Nothobranchius furzeri: one gene and its partner. The protein of the gene in region 1 interacts with the protein of each later gene in a biochemical or structural test. Links are inferred from orthologs where the notes say so. Each region holds a gene or a part of one and is shown in the gene's direction. Other genes may lie near its edges.

What was found.
Region 2: the proteins of ppfia1 (region 1) and git1 form a complex in vitro, tested with the Homo sapiens proteins (2 studies listed by BioGRID). The link is inferred for Nothobranchius furzeri from reciprocal best matches to the Homo sapiens genes PPFIA1 and GIT1.

Annotation. Positions count from the first base shown.
Region 1 is NC_091749.1:65,248,522-65,256,044, reverse strand, and holds part of ppfia1 (liprin-alpha-1), read left to right. Parts: intron 1-316; coding exon 317-410; intron 411-1,990; coding exon 1,991-2,072; intron 2,073-3,205; coding exon 3,206-3,406; intron 3,407-3,663; coding exon 3,664-3,726; intron 3,727-4,412; coding exon 4,413-4,439; intron 4,440-4,874; coding exon 4,875-5,050; intron 5,051-5,140; coding exon 5,141-5,238; intron 5,239-5,982; coding exon 5,983-6,158; intron 6,159-6,425; coding exon 6,426-6,494; intron 6,495-6,565; coding exon 6,566-6,734; intron 6,735-6,927; coding exon of another isoform or gene 6,928-6,983; exon of another isoform or gene 6,984-6,992; intron 6,993-7,523. UniProt on the Homo sapiens protein: May regulate the disassembly of focal adhesions. May localize receptor-like tyrosine phosphatases type 2A at specific sites on the plasma membrane, possibly regulating their interaction with the extracellular environment and their association with substrates.
Region 2 is NC_091753.1:16,381,788-16,389,310, reverse strand, and holds part of git1 (ARF GTPase-activating protein GIT1), read left to right. Parts: intron 1-2,258; coding exon 2,259-2,345; intron 2,346-2,436; coding exon 2,437-2,567; intron 2,568-2,644; coding exon 2,645-2,739; intron 2,740-2,809; coding exon 2,810-2,852; intron 2,853-3,215; coding exon 3,216-3,242; intron 3,243-3,734; coding exon 3,735-3,783; intron 3,784-7,523. UniProt on the Homo sapiens protein: GTPase-activating protein for ADP ribosylation factor family members, including ARF1.

The DNA of each region.
Region 1 (7,523 bases):
CTGTTAAGTGTGATTAAGAAATTCACTAACGTAAAATTACACCAGTCCATTTTTACTATAAATATTATTTTTAATGTCCAGTGCTCTGTGGTCTTCCTGCATTTTTGTGAGCTTATGGAGCAATCCATCCCATAATAACTAATAACGTCAGAAGACACAGCTGGCATCTGTTAGAAACACAACTCTGATCTTTGAAATACTTTATGAATTAGTTTCTTCATAGGGAGAGACATATCCGTTTCCCTCTGGCTGCATCGAGTCTGAACCGACCATCCGTCGGTTTTAGTAAAATCCTAAACACGTTTTTTGTTGCCAGCTGGCACGCCAGAGGCAGAAAGCTCCCCAAAGGATGGACTGGGAATGGGAACACTCGGAGGTCCTTCAGAGAAGAACCGGAAGCTGCAGAAGAAGTGAGTTTGTTCTCCTTTCACTTCCTGTAGCGCGTTTGTATATTGAGACGAAGGCTGAAAGCTGAGAGAATTCCTGTTAATAATGTAGGAGTCCTCCTGTGTTGCTGCTGTTTGTTCACCCCCCCACCCCCACCTGACTCACCTCTATCAGCTGATCTTCCTCTCACTCCACACCCGTCATTCCCATCACAACCACCACCTAATTCCATGTTTTCCCTTTTGTTTGAGGTTTGATGCAGCTGTAATTCCAGCACCAGAAATGTTGTTTTGCTTCCATAAATTATCATCTGTTCATTTTTTCTTTTTTTCTGCCAACTTTTTTTCTTTTTCTTCTTCTTTTTTTTTTTTTTTTTTTTTTACCATCCTCTTCTCATTCCACGTGTAGTCCAAAGACTGGGTAAGTTGGTTCACGTTGCCTAGTCTTGCCTGATCTTCTTTCCTCTCCTGGCTTCACGTTTATCTCACCAGTAACTCTTCAGGACCCAAACAGCCGTCCCTCTGAATGCCTGACAGCTTTTCCGTGCTGCTCTTTTCCTGCTTCCCACACTGGAGCCGAACTAACAGGAATGTGTGTGTTCTGCTGTTTAACCAGTGCTCTCCTCCCGGAGCATGACGTTCCATACCACTAAGGAGGATTTCATGTGTTCTGATGTTGGAATTAAATAAAGTTCTTGTTTAGTCGATTTTGTGGTTGATAGGAGCCAACAGCCCCACCTAGTGGTCACCCATGAGATGTGTCTGGGCTCAGGATTGATGTGGAGCAGCAGCTCAGAACGTGCATGAAGTGGATGTGATCCGACCCTTGTTCTTCCTCCTGTGCATGTCGTGTCCCTGCAGATTTAGAGGAATGTTGTTATTAAACTGCTGGTTCTGACCGGTTCTGTTCCTTCAACCTGATATAAAATCCAGTTTTCTGCCTGTGGAGGCTCAGAGCTTCTGAAGGTGTTTAAACAAAGACCTCCAAGATGTTTCTGTCAGAGCTTTCCTGTTTGTTTGAGCTTTTCTGGGTTTTATTTCCTGTTCCTGGTTTCTTACGTGCATGTGACCTGGATGTTTCTGGGTTTGGGTTCAAAAGGTGAATGTGACGGAGTGCAATGTGGGAGAATTGTAGATTTTTGAAGTAATCCAAGTGTCACTGGTTCTTCCTACCTTCAGCTGGCAATCAAAAGTGATTTGGGTTTTTGTTTATAAAACCCAAATAGATCCCGACCCAAAGGAGACCGTGAGCTGTCTTCTGATTCAAACAGGAAGATTTTCATTGAGTTTCAGATTTTTTTGTAGATTAGATTAAATGAAGTTGCCTTTCAAAATAAAAGCCCAAAAATGATATTTAAGTATTAAAAATGTGATGGCCGATTGGCTGCAGTTTATTAAATATTGAAATTAGGTCTCATTTCTCTTTATTCAGCCTGAGATGGAAAATCTGAAGAATGAAAAAAAAAAAACATTTTGGTATCAAATTAAACTTGACTAAATAAAAAGTCTATTTGATTGTCTTTTGAAACCATAAAGGATGAATGATTGACAGAATGATGCTGTATGTGTTTGTTTCTGGGTTTAATATTTTATTTGTGTGACAGACACGAGTTACTGGAAGAAGCTCGAAGGCAGGGCGTCCCGTTCGCTCAGTGGGACGGCCCGACCGTCGTGGCCTGGTTGGAGGTACGAACCAGTATTGCAAGGCTCTTAAACCGGTTTAAAGTGTCCAACTGAGGTCGTCCCCATGTGTAGGACTCGTTTGTGTTTGTAAATATAAACTTATGAAAAGGCAGTAGAAACTGGCGTGAAGTAAAAGATTTTTTGTTTTCGCTTTCTGATTTAGAATTTCAGATTAGAAATGTGTGGAACTCATTTTTTATTTTATGGAGTGACTTTGACTCCGAATAAAAAACTAAACCTGAGTTTTAGATTTCACGATCGTATTAAAGGTGTGGCTCATTCATTTAATCAACACATGTGTAGTGCCATGTAAGTCGTACTCTGGGGAAACAAAGCTCCGGTGCACCAGTTTTTCTGGAACTAAAAGTGAGCCACTTCAGAGTTGAGCTTCAGATGGCAGGGTTTGGAGTCCTGTTTCCTGAAATGTAGATATCTCTCCTCTGATTGGCTAACAGCAGTGCAACTCTACCACTGACTCTTTGCTTTGCAACGTTCATGTTTTATCTCCACAAATAACACAAAGCTGGAGGAGCTCTGCTGTGTGGTGGAGTTGCTAATGCTAACAGTTTGCTTCTACTAGCTGAGACGTTCTCTGCTGTTTCCTGGATGCTAAACCAGCAACAGCCTTCCCCGTCGTGAGTCAAGATGAATGTTAAGTGACAGTGTGACACAGATCTGTCAGGATTATCTAATCCTAGAGTTTCGCCGTCTATTTTCTATCAGAAGCTAATGCAGGAGATAGATGTAGGAGACTATTTTCATGTTCAGCCTGCTTAAAAACAGTGGCAGATAATAATCAGAAATAACCATTTAAAATGGGGTTTCAGTGTTCCACACCTTTAATTTTACAGCTCTGAACGTCCACAAATCTGCCTATTTATCGTAAAAGTTTAATTAAGTTTAATCATTAATTCAAACTCGTTGGATTGTGCCTCTTGATTTGTATGAAGTGAAGGGAACATCCTGCAGAGCAGCTTCCGATGAGGAAGAACATAAAACCAGTTTCAGGACGTGGATTTTTTGACACCTTCAGATCCAGAAGTCACCACGTAGATCCGATCCTAAGCAGCTGGAAGCACAAATGTTAACAATAATCTCGTCTGACCCATCCGGTTCTTCTGTCCTCTCCGGTCCAGCTGTGGGTCGGCATGCCGGCCTGGTACGTGGCCGCGTGTCGAGCCAACGTGAAGAGCGGAGCCATCATGTCGGCGCTGTCCGACACGGAGATCCAACGAGAAATCGGAATCAGCAACCCATTACATCGTCTGAAACTCCGCCTGGCCATCCAGGAAATCATGTCCCTCACCAGCCCCTCAGCCCCGCCCACATCCCGAACGGTACCATTATGATCACACACACACACACACACACACACACACACACACACACACACACACACACACACACACAAGCATGAGACTTTTTTGTTTATTAACATTTTAACAAACTAATGATTGAGTCAAACTAATTAATTTCTATTCTTTTTCTAACAAACAAATTCTTCTTGATTTTCCCTCCGTCCTGCTTCTTTCCTGTCCATCATCCCTCTTTCTTTTTTGCACACTTGGGATGGGGGCGGGGGTGAAATGATCAGACCACAGGAAACGTTTGGGTCACACACGAAGAGATGGAGAGTTTGGCAGCAACGCCTCCGACGGTCAGTCCGGCCCAGATCAGCTGGGCTCTCTCTCTCTTCACTCGTTAGAGCGGGCGCCTCGATTTAAGCTAACCACACAACAGCCAGACATTACTAATCAATCAGCAGATCAACAGACTTGCGTGGTGCAGGCTTAAACGAGGCGTCGCTCTTTCAGCTATCTTTTCTTTGTGTTTCTGTCAGACCTCATGTGTCTGTATGTGCATGTGTATGTGCACGCTTATGTGTATTTGTGCATGTGTGTGTGTTTCTGCTTTCATTGGGGGTATTTAGTGTAGACATGTGCTTGTTAGTTAGCTGCCCACCGCTCTGATAGCTGAATTTTCTTGTTTTTTGTTCGTTTTAGTTTATAAACATCATCTCTGGGGGATCAGATCCTTCCACAAAAGCTCTTTTCAGACAGGCAATGCTTTAATTCAGACAACATAACCTGTGGTCATCCCTGTGTAAATGTTGAAAAGCCTCATGTCTGAAAGGAGCTTTGATCAGTTTTAAGTTAAAAATCAAACAAACTCTTTGTGTAATTAGAATTTGGCTCCTGATTTTATCTCCTTAATTTTATTTTACTCAGATTTAGTTTAGATTTTATTATTTCCTGGTGAATCGGCTCTAAGCAGCAGCGCCGCCGCCGCCTCCACTAACCGCTCACCTGTCTGTTCTTCTCACCATGCTCACGCTAACACCAGGAGGATGAGGAGGGCAGCTGGGCCCAGGTTTGCACACGACCCCCACCCCTCCACCCCCCACCTGTTCAACTTAACTCACCTTGTTTACACGTATCTGACACATGTTCACCATCACATCTAATCAGCCTCTTTTGGCTTATTTTAAAATGGTTGGTGCTGCTGTAACGGGTGAATTTCCCCAGTGTGGGATCAATAAAGTCTATTCTATTCTATTTAAATATATAAAATCTCCATAAACAGACTAAATATGAAACATTTCCTGATTACAACTGAACTAGTCATCCTTTTTGTGTTTGATGCAGTTCAGTGTAGGAACAGCTGAGTGTCACCATGGAGACAATAATCAGAACATCTTTAGTTCTGTTTAAAAACACTAAACCATCAGTAACAGTAATTTCAACGTTTCAGTTATTTATTTGATCCATACCTTCATGTCTGACCAAAGCTCCTCTCTGGCTGCAGACGCTGGCGTATGGAGACATGAACCATGAGTGGATCGGTAACGAGTGGCTGCCCAGTCTGGGTTTGCCCCAGTACCGGTCCTACTTCATGGAGTCCCTGGTGGACGCCCGGATGCTGGATCACCTGACCAAGAAGGACCTAAGAGGTCAGCTGAAGATGGTGGACAGCTTCCACAGGTGAGGAGGGTGGAGTCTCTGTCTGCCGTCTTACAACACAACATCTGAAAGCATAAACCTGTAACAGGTGTGCATATTTATAAATAACAGGAACAGTTTCCAGTGTGGTGTCATGTGTCTGAGGAGGCTGAACTACGACCGGAAGGAGCTGGAAAGCAGGAGAGAGGAGTCCCAGCTGGAACTCAGAGGTGTGTGTGTGTGTGAGTGTGAGATCAGGTTTCCTTTACTGAAGAACGTGAAAAAGTTGCTCAGATTGCAGAAAGGAAGCTGCCATGTTTGAAGACTTCATTCAGACCAAAGCAATCAATCAGTGTAAGCCCCGCCCACTGCCTAATGAGCAGTTTGTCGGAGTACAGCATCACAAAGCATGTAAAAATAAAATTGTACAATAAAAATGTATGATTTTTTTATAAATACAATAAATATCTTTATTAGAGACAGATTATGGATTTAATTCAGATTTTATTAATAACACATTTAATCAGTTATTTAATGCTTTATTTATTTTGTCACCGTTGTTCTCTCTATCCTACCAGCTTTGTTTAAATTGAATAAAAAATGCATCTTTAGACCATGAAACAGTTACCAATGGTTGCACCAACCATAGATTTACATGCTGTTGAAGGTTCTCAGTCATCCAGGTCATGGTAAATAAACCATTTGTAAAAAAAAAAAACAACAAAAAAAAAAAAAACACCTTCAATTATTTTCATCTTAAACACAAAAAGCAGCTGTAGGATCTCTTTAAAGCCTGTGTGAGTCGCTGGTTTCCATCTGAGGGTCTAAAACAGTAGAAGGTTCCTGTCCAAGAGCTCCACGAGGAACCTCCTCTGAGGCTCTTTGGGTGAAGATCACTAGAGGGAGCTCACGTTGGTTCTACAAACACATTTGCTTTGTTCTCCTTAGAAATAAAACATCTGCTGACATTTCAGATGTGTTGGTGTGGTCCAACGAGCGCGTGATCAACTGGATTCAGAGCATCGGCCTCAAAGAGTTCAGCAGCAACCTTTATGAGAGCGGCGTTCACGGGGCGTTGCTGTCCCTGGACGAAAGCTTCGATCACAACACGCTGGCTCTGCTCCTGCAGATCCCCACTCAGAACACGCAGGTATACACACGTTTACGGTTTACCTGTAGCAGCTGATATAGTGGGGGCGAGGTTACATCCTATGTAACTTTTCTAATAAGTGATTTTTATGACTTATTCAAACCTGTTTTAATGGATAATTTTAATACCCGAGAGTTCCTGTCAGAGTTTCCATCCCGTCTCCCTACATCGGCTCCGGGTGTTTCCTCATCCCTGCAGCTGCAGCTCATAGATCTGGATCCTTTATCTGTTTGACACAAGTAGATCTAAGTGTATGTGTCCTTTCAGGCCCGAGCAACTCTGGAGCGGGAGTACACCGGTCTACTGGCCATCGGCACAGACAGGAAGGTGGAAGAGGTGAGAAGAACTAAAGCCTGTGTGTGAAGCTAACTTCCTGCTGGTCTAATGATCAGCCCTCTATCTTCCAGGATGACGATAAGAACTTCCGCCGTGCTCCATCGTGGAGGAAGAAGTTCAGACCCAAAGACATGAGAGGGGTGTCGCTGGGTGTGTCAGACACCCTTCCTGCCAACTTCCGAGTGACGAGTAGCAGCGCGGCGTCTCCCTCAATGCAGCCAAAGAGGAGCCCGATGGACGGTAAGCGGAAGCATCACCGCCTCTTGGTGCATGTCTTTAAAACGCTCCGTCTGCTTGTTTTTTCCCGGAGTAAAACTACCCTGATGGACGTTTCTGCCCCGTTTAACTCTGCTTTGCTGCTCTGCTGGTTCTGTTTGATGCTGTGACTAATGGCACGTCTCTGCATGTGATTTCTGCCAACATGCAAACTCAGGAGGTCAGTCTATACAGAGGCTGGACACGGCCACAGTCAGGACCTACTCTTGTTAACACGCAACGGTAAGATCACACACACCAGCTGTGATTTACTGAGGAGTGTGTACAGAGCCCTGGTGACGCCTTTATGCTCCCCACTACGGGAACTGATTCAGTTTGAGGAGAAGATGAAAGGTAGCCTGGCCTGCGAGACTCCTCTGTTTAATTCTGCACAGAGAAAGGGTCTAAACTCTCCTATTCAAATAACCCCACCCCCTGGGAATTCTAACTGGGCCAATCAGGGCTGAGTAGCGTACGTCACACTGACTCGCACACCATAATGCCGAGTTTATCATAAACATGGCGACTGAAACAGAGTTCGCTCTTTCCTTTGTTCTAAATGATTTGGACACGTCTTTAAAACCACAACAAGTTGAAGCGCTAAGTTTTCGCCGTTGCCAGACGCCATTTTTGACTACAGCTAAAAAATGGCAGCGTCGTGGACGTCACACTCGGCGATGCTCAGTTTCTCATAAACAACGGAGACAGCGGCGGAGTTCGCTGAGGCTCTTTCCTCTGTTCTAAATGACTTGAATGTCTTTAAAACCACAACAA
Region 2 (7,523 bases), on another chromosome or scaffold:
AGCGTCCAAGACTTCTTTTTTTTTTTCACCTTGGTCAACAACATACATTTTGAGCCCCAAACACATTATTTTTGCTGTCTGTAGTGTCTACTCAGGATCCAGAGTGAATAGTGATAATATATTTTATCTTTTCTTAGGCACTCTTGGTTAATCTGTAAGTTAAGCCACTTTTTAAGTTGGTTTTAACCAGACGCTAGCTCACTAGCTAGCTGCTAAGCAAGTCATTGTGCTAGCCTCAGGACAATGGTCTATTGCTGCAGAGAGACGTATTAAAAACTCAAGGCGCCGCCGCAGGCTCTACTGTGTAGCTCTTTGTTGGCGGCGAGGGCAGGTAAGCGATTACTACTGAACACGTCGTCTGGTTAGCTTAATGAGCTAGCAAGATACAGCACCACTAGCTGGTCAGTGACAACAATGAATTTAATATAAACTACATCAGACATTAATGGTCATTATTTGCAAATCATCCTTAAGTTGTTTTGTGTCACCTCACAATTTTTGGTTCAACACATAGTATGCGTAGAAAATAGAAAGCACAATCACACGTGATACTTTTCCTCCTCGCATCACTTCAGAAGCTTGATTTTAAATTACACTTCTATAAAGTTAGGAGAGTTATATCAGAGCACTAGCAGACGAAATGGGTCTTATTGTTAATTACTATTAAACATGGCCTGTTTTTATTTTCTATTGTACTGTATGTAGACTGCATATCAAGTTAATCCAATAATAATTATTCTAGTATGTAATTATTCCAAACCCCATGGCCTGCATGTCAGACAGCTAAATGCCTTGTATAGATACAGAAAATATATGTAAACATGCATAAAATAATAATCCAAAAAAAACTGTCATATACAATAAGGTTAAAAGCACTATATTATGGTCGTATAAGCGTATGTTAGAGCTTGGTTTTATTGTTCACTTGTATGTATATATATATATATATATATATATATATATATATATATGTGTGTGTGTGTGTGTGTGTGTGTGTGTGTGTGTGTGTGTGTCCCAACCACACCTCTCCAGGTCTCACTGTCGTTGCCCACGTGAGCGTTAAAGTCCCCAGCAGAACGAGGGAGTCATTAGAAGGAGCTCCCTCCAGCACTCCCTCCAATGTCTCCAAAAAGGCTGGGTAGTCTGAACTGTAGTTTGGTGTATAAGCACAGACCACAGTCAGAACCCGTCCCCCCGCATGTACTGTAGGCGGAGGGAGGCTATCCTCTCATTCACTGGGGTAAACCCCAACATACAGGCACCAAGATGGGGGCAACTAGTATGCCCACCCCTGCTCGGCGCCTCTCAGTGGGAGCAACTCCAGAGTGGTAGAAAGTCCAATCCCTCTCAAGGAAACTGGTTCCAGAGCCAGATCCATGCGTTGAGGTCATTCCGCATATATCTAGTTGGAATCTGTCAACCTCACACACGTACTCAGGTTCCTTCCCCACCAGAGAGGTGACATTCCACGTGCCAAGAGCCAGCTTCTGTAGCTGAGGATGAGACTGCCAAGATCCCCGCCCTTGACCATCACACACTGCACCCGACCCCTTTGGCCCCTCCAATGAGTGGTGAGCCCATGGGAACGGGGACCCACGTTTCCTCTTTGGGCTGTGCCCAGCCGAGCTCCATGGGTGAAAGCTCGGTCACCAGGCGCTCGCCAACGTGTCCCACCTCCAGGCCTGGCTCCAGATGGGGACCCCGGTGACCCGCTTCCGGGCGAGGGAACAGGATTTTCATTTATATTATTCATCATAAGAGGTCTTTGGGCTGCTCTTTGTCTGATCTCTCACTGAGGACCTGTTTGCCATGGGTGACCCTACCAGAGGCATAAAGCTTCAGACAACTTAGCTCCTAGGATCATTGGAACACTCAAACCCCTCCACCATGTTAAGGTGGCAGCCCAGGGAGGCCTCTTCCAATATGCCAACATTTCTGAGTTTTAGTCTTTTTACAAGCTAAAGTCAGACTTTGTCTTGCACTAAGAGGCTGTTTATGGCTGCAAGTAGTGGGTTCACTGTCGACAGCAGAATAAACCCCAGAGCTTTTTAGTGTGTCCTCTCATGACAACGCACTAAAGGGACCTTTATTAAACATCCTCAGATAAAAGTTGAGCATTGGCACTCTAAGCATGCTCATCTGAACTCTAATAGCAAAATGTTGCTGAGCGTCTTTATTCCCAGCTGGAAGAAAAATAACACACACATATACACACAGGCTTCACACCATCTTCTCTGTTTCATCTTTTCCTCTGCTAGCAACTCCATTCGAGTGTGCGGACAGGAAGTTTAGAGACATGTCTCCGGCTGCTGTCCCTCGGTGCTCAGGCCAACTTCTTCCACCCGGTCAGAAATCTAAGCTTCCAGTGGTACCATTTGAGTTGTGTTCATGGTTTACGGTGTTGTAAGTTCTTAAGTGTGTGTTTTGCTGATGCAGGAGAAGGGCACAACCCCGCTTCATGTAGCAGCCAAGGCGGGCCAGATCCTTCAGGCTGAACTGCTTGTCATCTACGGCGCAGATCCTGGAGCACCTGATATCAACGGGCACACACCTATGGACTCTGCTAGGTACAAATATAAATGCAGCTGACTGATTTCATCATGATATCTGATTTGAAAAACGCACAGATCTGTTTGTTTTTCAGGCAGGCGGGCCATGTAGAGCTAGCAGAGCGCTTGGTGGAGTGTCAGTATGAGCTGACAGATAGGCTAGCTTTCTACCTGTGTGGCCGACGCCCAGGTAACCTCTCGTCCCACAGTCAGTAGCATGGAGTTGTAGCTTTTTACACTGACTTGTTTTCTTTCTTTAGATCACAAAAATGGCCACTATATCATTCCTCAAATGGCTGACAGGTATGGTTTTAATTTGTTTGGGTTAATTTAAATGATTTTTGTAGTTCTCTGATTAATAAAGGCTCCACATTAGTGTTCTTTCGTCTGGTTGGATGATTTGGAAAACCTGTAATTTGGTTTTCTGACTACCAGGGGTCCCAAAGAAATTCCATGTGTGGACTTGCTGTTCAAACATCTTGTGTGGAGGTCCTGAACCTTCAGTTTCTGTGTGGGAGCTGGTTTAACTTCACTTGTTTAGTTCTGGTTCTCCTTGATCATTATAAAAGTTGTTTTCACGTGGCTTCTCTGCCTTCTTCCTGTCTGTTTCTTTCTCTCCTCACTGGTTTCCTGTTCTCTCATTTTTGCTGCGCTTGATGGAGCCAGAGCTCGTCCTAAGTGCCCGACACAAAGGTATCTTTACCTTCCTTGTTTCTCTCTCCTGCTTTTCTCTTCCTTTCTCTCACACTCCCCAACCTTTTGTATGGCTCCCCGTTTTGTTTCTTGTGAAGCTGATTTGTTAAAAATAAACAGCGTCTTGTGTAAGAGGCAGAGTTTAAAGGTCCTCCTGAGAACAAGGTGGTGTGCTTAGAAGTCCACCGGGAAAACCCTTTTCATCCTCATTTATCCACAATGACTTCCAGGACAAGGCAAAAACAAGAATTTCTTCTGAATATATTAAGAATTTAATTTCAGATGAGTTTGTTTATGAAACAGGATTTTAGCAGAAGAAAGTGAGTTTACAGCAGCAGGTGTCTGAGTAATTGCAGGGGGCAGGAGATAAATCACCCCATCCCCCCAATTGCATTGTTGGCCCTATCTCCTGGTTTCCTACCCATTTCCTCTCTATTGTCTGTCTTCTGCTCATCTATAAAAAAAAATTTACAACTGGCTTTGTTCTTTCAGTTTGGACCTCTCTGAATTGGCCAAAGCTGCCAAGAAGAAGCTCCAAGCGGTGAGTTTATGTTCCTAATAATACTGACTTGTCCATGTATTAAGTGACAATGTATAGTTTTTACCATTAATTAAATGATGCCCAGGTGTTGGAAAATGTTTGCGGCTTCTAGGGCTGGGCGATACGGAACAAAACTTATATCTCTATCTTTTAGCTGAATTCCAATATACGATATATATCTGGATATTTTTCCTCCTGTAAAATATTTACAAGTTAACTCACTTCAAGCTGTCTTGAGAAATTATAAACATAAATCAGTAGATTAAATGCATAAAAATGTATTGATTCTTGTCAAACTTTAACCTTAGTGCCTATTGTCTGGTACAGCTGTCTGCTAACACACACACACACACACACATACACAATTGAGAGCTAGAGGTGTATCAAATGTCCCACAGGCACTTTTTAATTATAAATTTATAATTATTGTAAAATTGTTTAAATGTCATCTAGAGGTGGCCATATCGTTTATTTCTTGTCCAGAGGAAAAAAAAATCTATCATGTTAAGCTAAGTTTATGATGATGCAATTGTATCTACTGAAGATCTCATGGGTCATGCACCGTGGAGTTATTAGTTATCAGGGCAAACATGGCTGGAGTCCAACAGTATTGGCTCATATCAGCGATTATACTGTAATGACTCAGAGTCTCTGATTGCTCTCTTATCAGTATTATAACCCTAACCCTAACCCATACTGAGTATTTACTAGCATAGCAAACCGGAAAAAAATGGAACCGGAACAATATTTCTCACCCGTTGAGCTCCCCTTCAAAATAAAACGTTAACCCTATAGTTTACTATTGAAATCCTTACAATACATTTGAGGTAATTTGGCCACTCCGGCTATCTGTAGATTTTCCCCGATTACACAGGGGAGGGAGGGGTTTAGCTCGTCTCCGCACGAGCAGGATGGAAAAACAGAACTCCGTTGGCATTGAACGTCCCTCAATAATTAAAAACCAGAACGCCAAATGCAAAGTTTAGAGCAGCACATTTACCCAGAGGCTCTCAGATTGAGCAAACTTGTGAGAATATATGTAATAACCGCTTAGAGACGGAGCAACATGTCGCTAGCATAGTGGCTAATCGCTAGCATTGCAGTTTGGCCAGTTATATCGATATGAAGATATAAAGTCATCTTGTTTCTTGTTTAAAAATTATATCCATATTTTAAAAATATCTATATATCGCCCAGCCCTAGCGGCTTCATAACATGTAAACAAAAATATCAGGTTTAAAAAACACAGGACCTTGTCTCAGTCTATGGGCGACGCCACATTAGACTCAATGTTTACATCTACGTCAATGCCAATGAGGACAAAACGCATTCACTGATTTGTTACAAGCCGTTTATAAACATTTTTGTTTTACACATTTGCCTCTTTGCTCGTTGCATGGGATGAAAGGGAGTCTGATGTGCTTGTCATTTTGCCGGAGTTTAAATTATTTGATTAAGAACTCTGTCAAAAAATGCGCTCCCAGGGATTTTTGACCCTAATGGACATCCGTTGGTAAGGTTTTACCTGGACAAGAAAATACCACTTGCTGGAAATGATTTTGGTATGTGCTGCCCCTACCACCAGGAGAAGTACATCTCATCACTTTAATGCGTCAGGCTTTATAGACCATCCATCCATCCTTTGTCCACATATCCGGGGTCGAGCCATGGGGCAGTAACCTAAGTAGAGAGGCCGAGATTTCCCTCTCCCCAGCCAATTGAACCAGCTCCTCCAGGGGAATCCCAAGGTGTCCCCTGGCCAGCCGAGAGACATGGTCCCTCCAGCATGTCCTAGGTCTTCCCTAGGGTCTCCTCCTGGTTGGACATGCCTGGAAAACTTCATCAGTGATGTGTCCAGGAGATATTCTAACCAGATGTCTGAGCCACCTCAACTGGCTCCTCTCAATGTGGAGGAGCAGCGGGCCTATTCCGAGCCCCTCTCAAATGGCCGAGCTTCTCACCCTATCTCTAAGGGAGAGCCCAGACACCCTTCGGAGATAACTCGTATTGGCCGCTTGTATCCGTGATCTAATTCTTTTGGTCACTACCCTAAGCTTGTGACCATAGATGAGGGTTGGAGCACTTATCAACCAGTAAACCAAGAGGATTGCCTTCTGACTCAGCTCGCTCTGCACCACTACATGCTGTTACAATGTCCACATCACTGCAGACACTACATGTTCTGATGAAGACAACGGGACCACATCATCCGCAAAAAGCAGAGACCTGATCCTTAGGCCACCAACACGGATTTTCTTAACACCTTGGCTGTGCCTAGAAATCCTGTCCATAAAAATTATGAATAGTGTAACAATAAAGAGTGAGGTAACTATCTAATATTGTGTATTTATAACACTGTAATTAGATCTAGTTTTATAATCAGAAGATGGGCTGTTTTTATCATCAGGGATTTTAATTAAACACTCTGTATTGACTTTGAGACAAGAAAAGAGAGAGAGTTGGGATCGTTTAAGAATCTTTAATTTCTTAATTATAAATTCTTAACAATCTACCAGGACTAACTCTGTGTTGTTTGGAAATGAATGTGATGTTCGATGTGTGTGTGTGTGTGTGTGTGTGTGTGTGTGTGTGTGTGTGTGTGTGTGTGTGTGTGTGTGTGTGTGGTTGGTTCAGACTCCTTAGGCTGACGTCCTTGAATCTGGTAGTCTGATTGTTATGACTAGATATCACGAGGCTTATAAAGTGATGACATGAGCTGCTATTTTGCCGTGTACGTACCCAGTGGGGGCCTCCCGGGTAGATCAGGAAATGCCAGGTCTGAAGTCCTCGGATGTGCGCTGGAGCTGGTCGAAACAGCGATCGCAGCGTTTCAAAGCCCGTCTGAAGGGTCGACCCAGGTAACAATCGGCAGCGTCAGCAGGTGCTCTTATTTTGAAAGGATGTCGTCTGGTTGTTAAACGACGAAAATCTCCAACTTCACAGTTCTTAGTTTAAAGAAGAAAACACATCTGGCCAGGCTGTGCTTCTCTTTGGGATGACGGTGAATAGAACTGAAGTCAAAATGGAACTGAGCTTAAAATGGCGTTGCCTTGTTTTATATCTCTGAATTGTTGATAAGTTTTAGTAAAGCGGATTGGACACTTTAAGTCAACAAGCCAGATTCTCTTGCGGCAGCCGAAAGCTTTGATTGGTTGGAACAATGTGTCATGCGTTTCTATGGAGATGAGGGTCAGTCTGTCTGTGCAGTAGTCCTGTTTTCATTAAACACATAAATCATGACATCTTTATTCCACAGATCATTCACTTGATTATTATTGATCAACATATGTTTCGAATAGCTTTAATCACAAATTAAGTGCTTTGATTATTGAAAAGCGTTCTTCTTCTCCTTCTGGCTCTTCTCCTGGAATGTAAACAGTCTGAGGAACACCCGACCTTGGCGTTTTCTACACGGGCGTTACTGTGTACAGGGGCAGCTGTGTGGAGCTGAAAATAATTAACTTCATAACGTTACATATCCCCCCTTTTCAAGGTCAATGTGGTCCTTCAAGAGACCACTTGGTCGTTGAACAAACCCAAGTTATGAAGAATCTTGACAACAGAACAGGATGCGATCCCAAGGGAACAGCCATCTGTGGTGAGGTACGAACCCCACGCCGAAGAACAGTCTCGCATACTCCTCAGGAAGAACACAAGTCAGCAGGTTATTAATCATTCCCCATGGAAGCCATAAACGAAGCAACAGCAACTTTATATCCTCACGGGCAATAAAGCAAAGC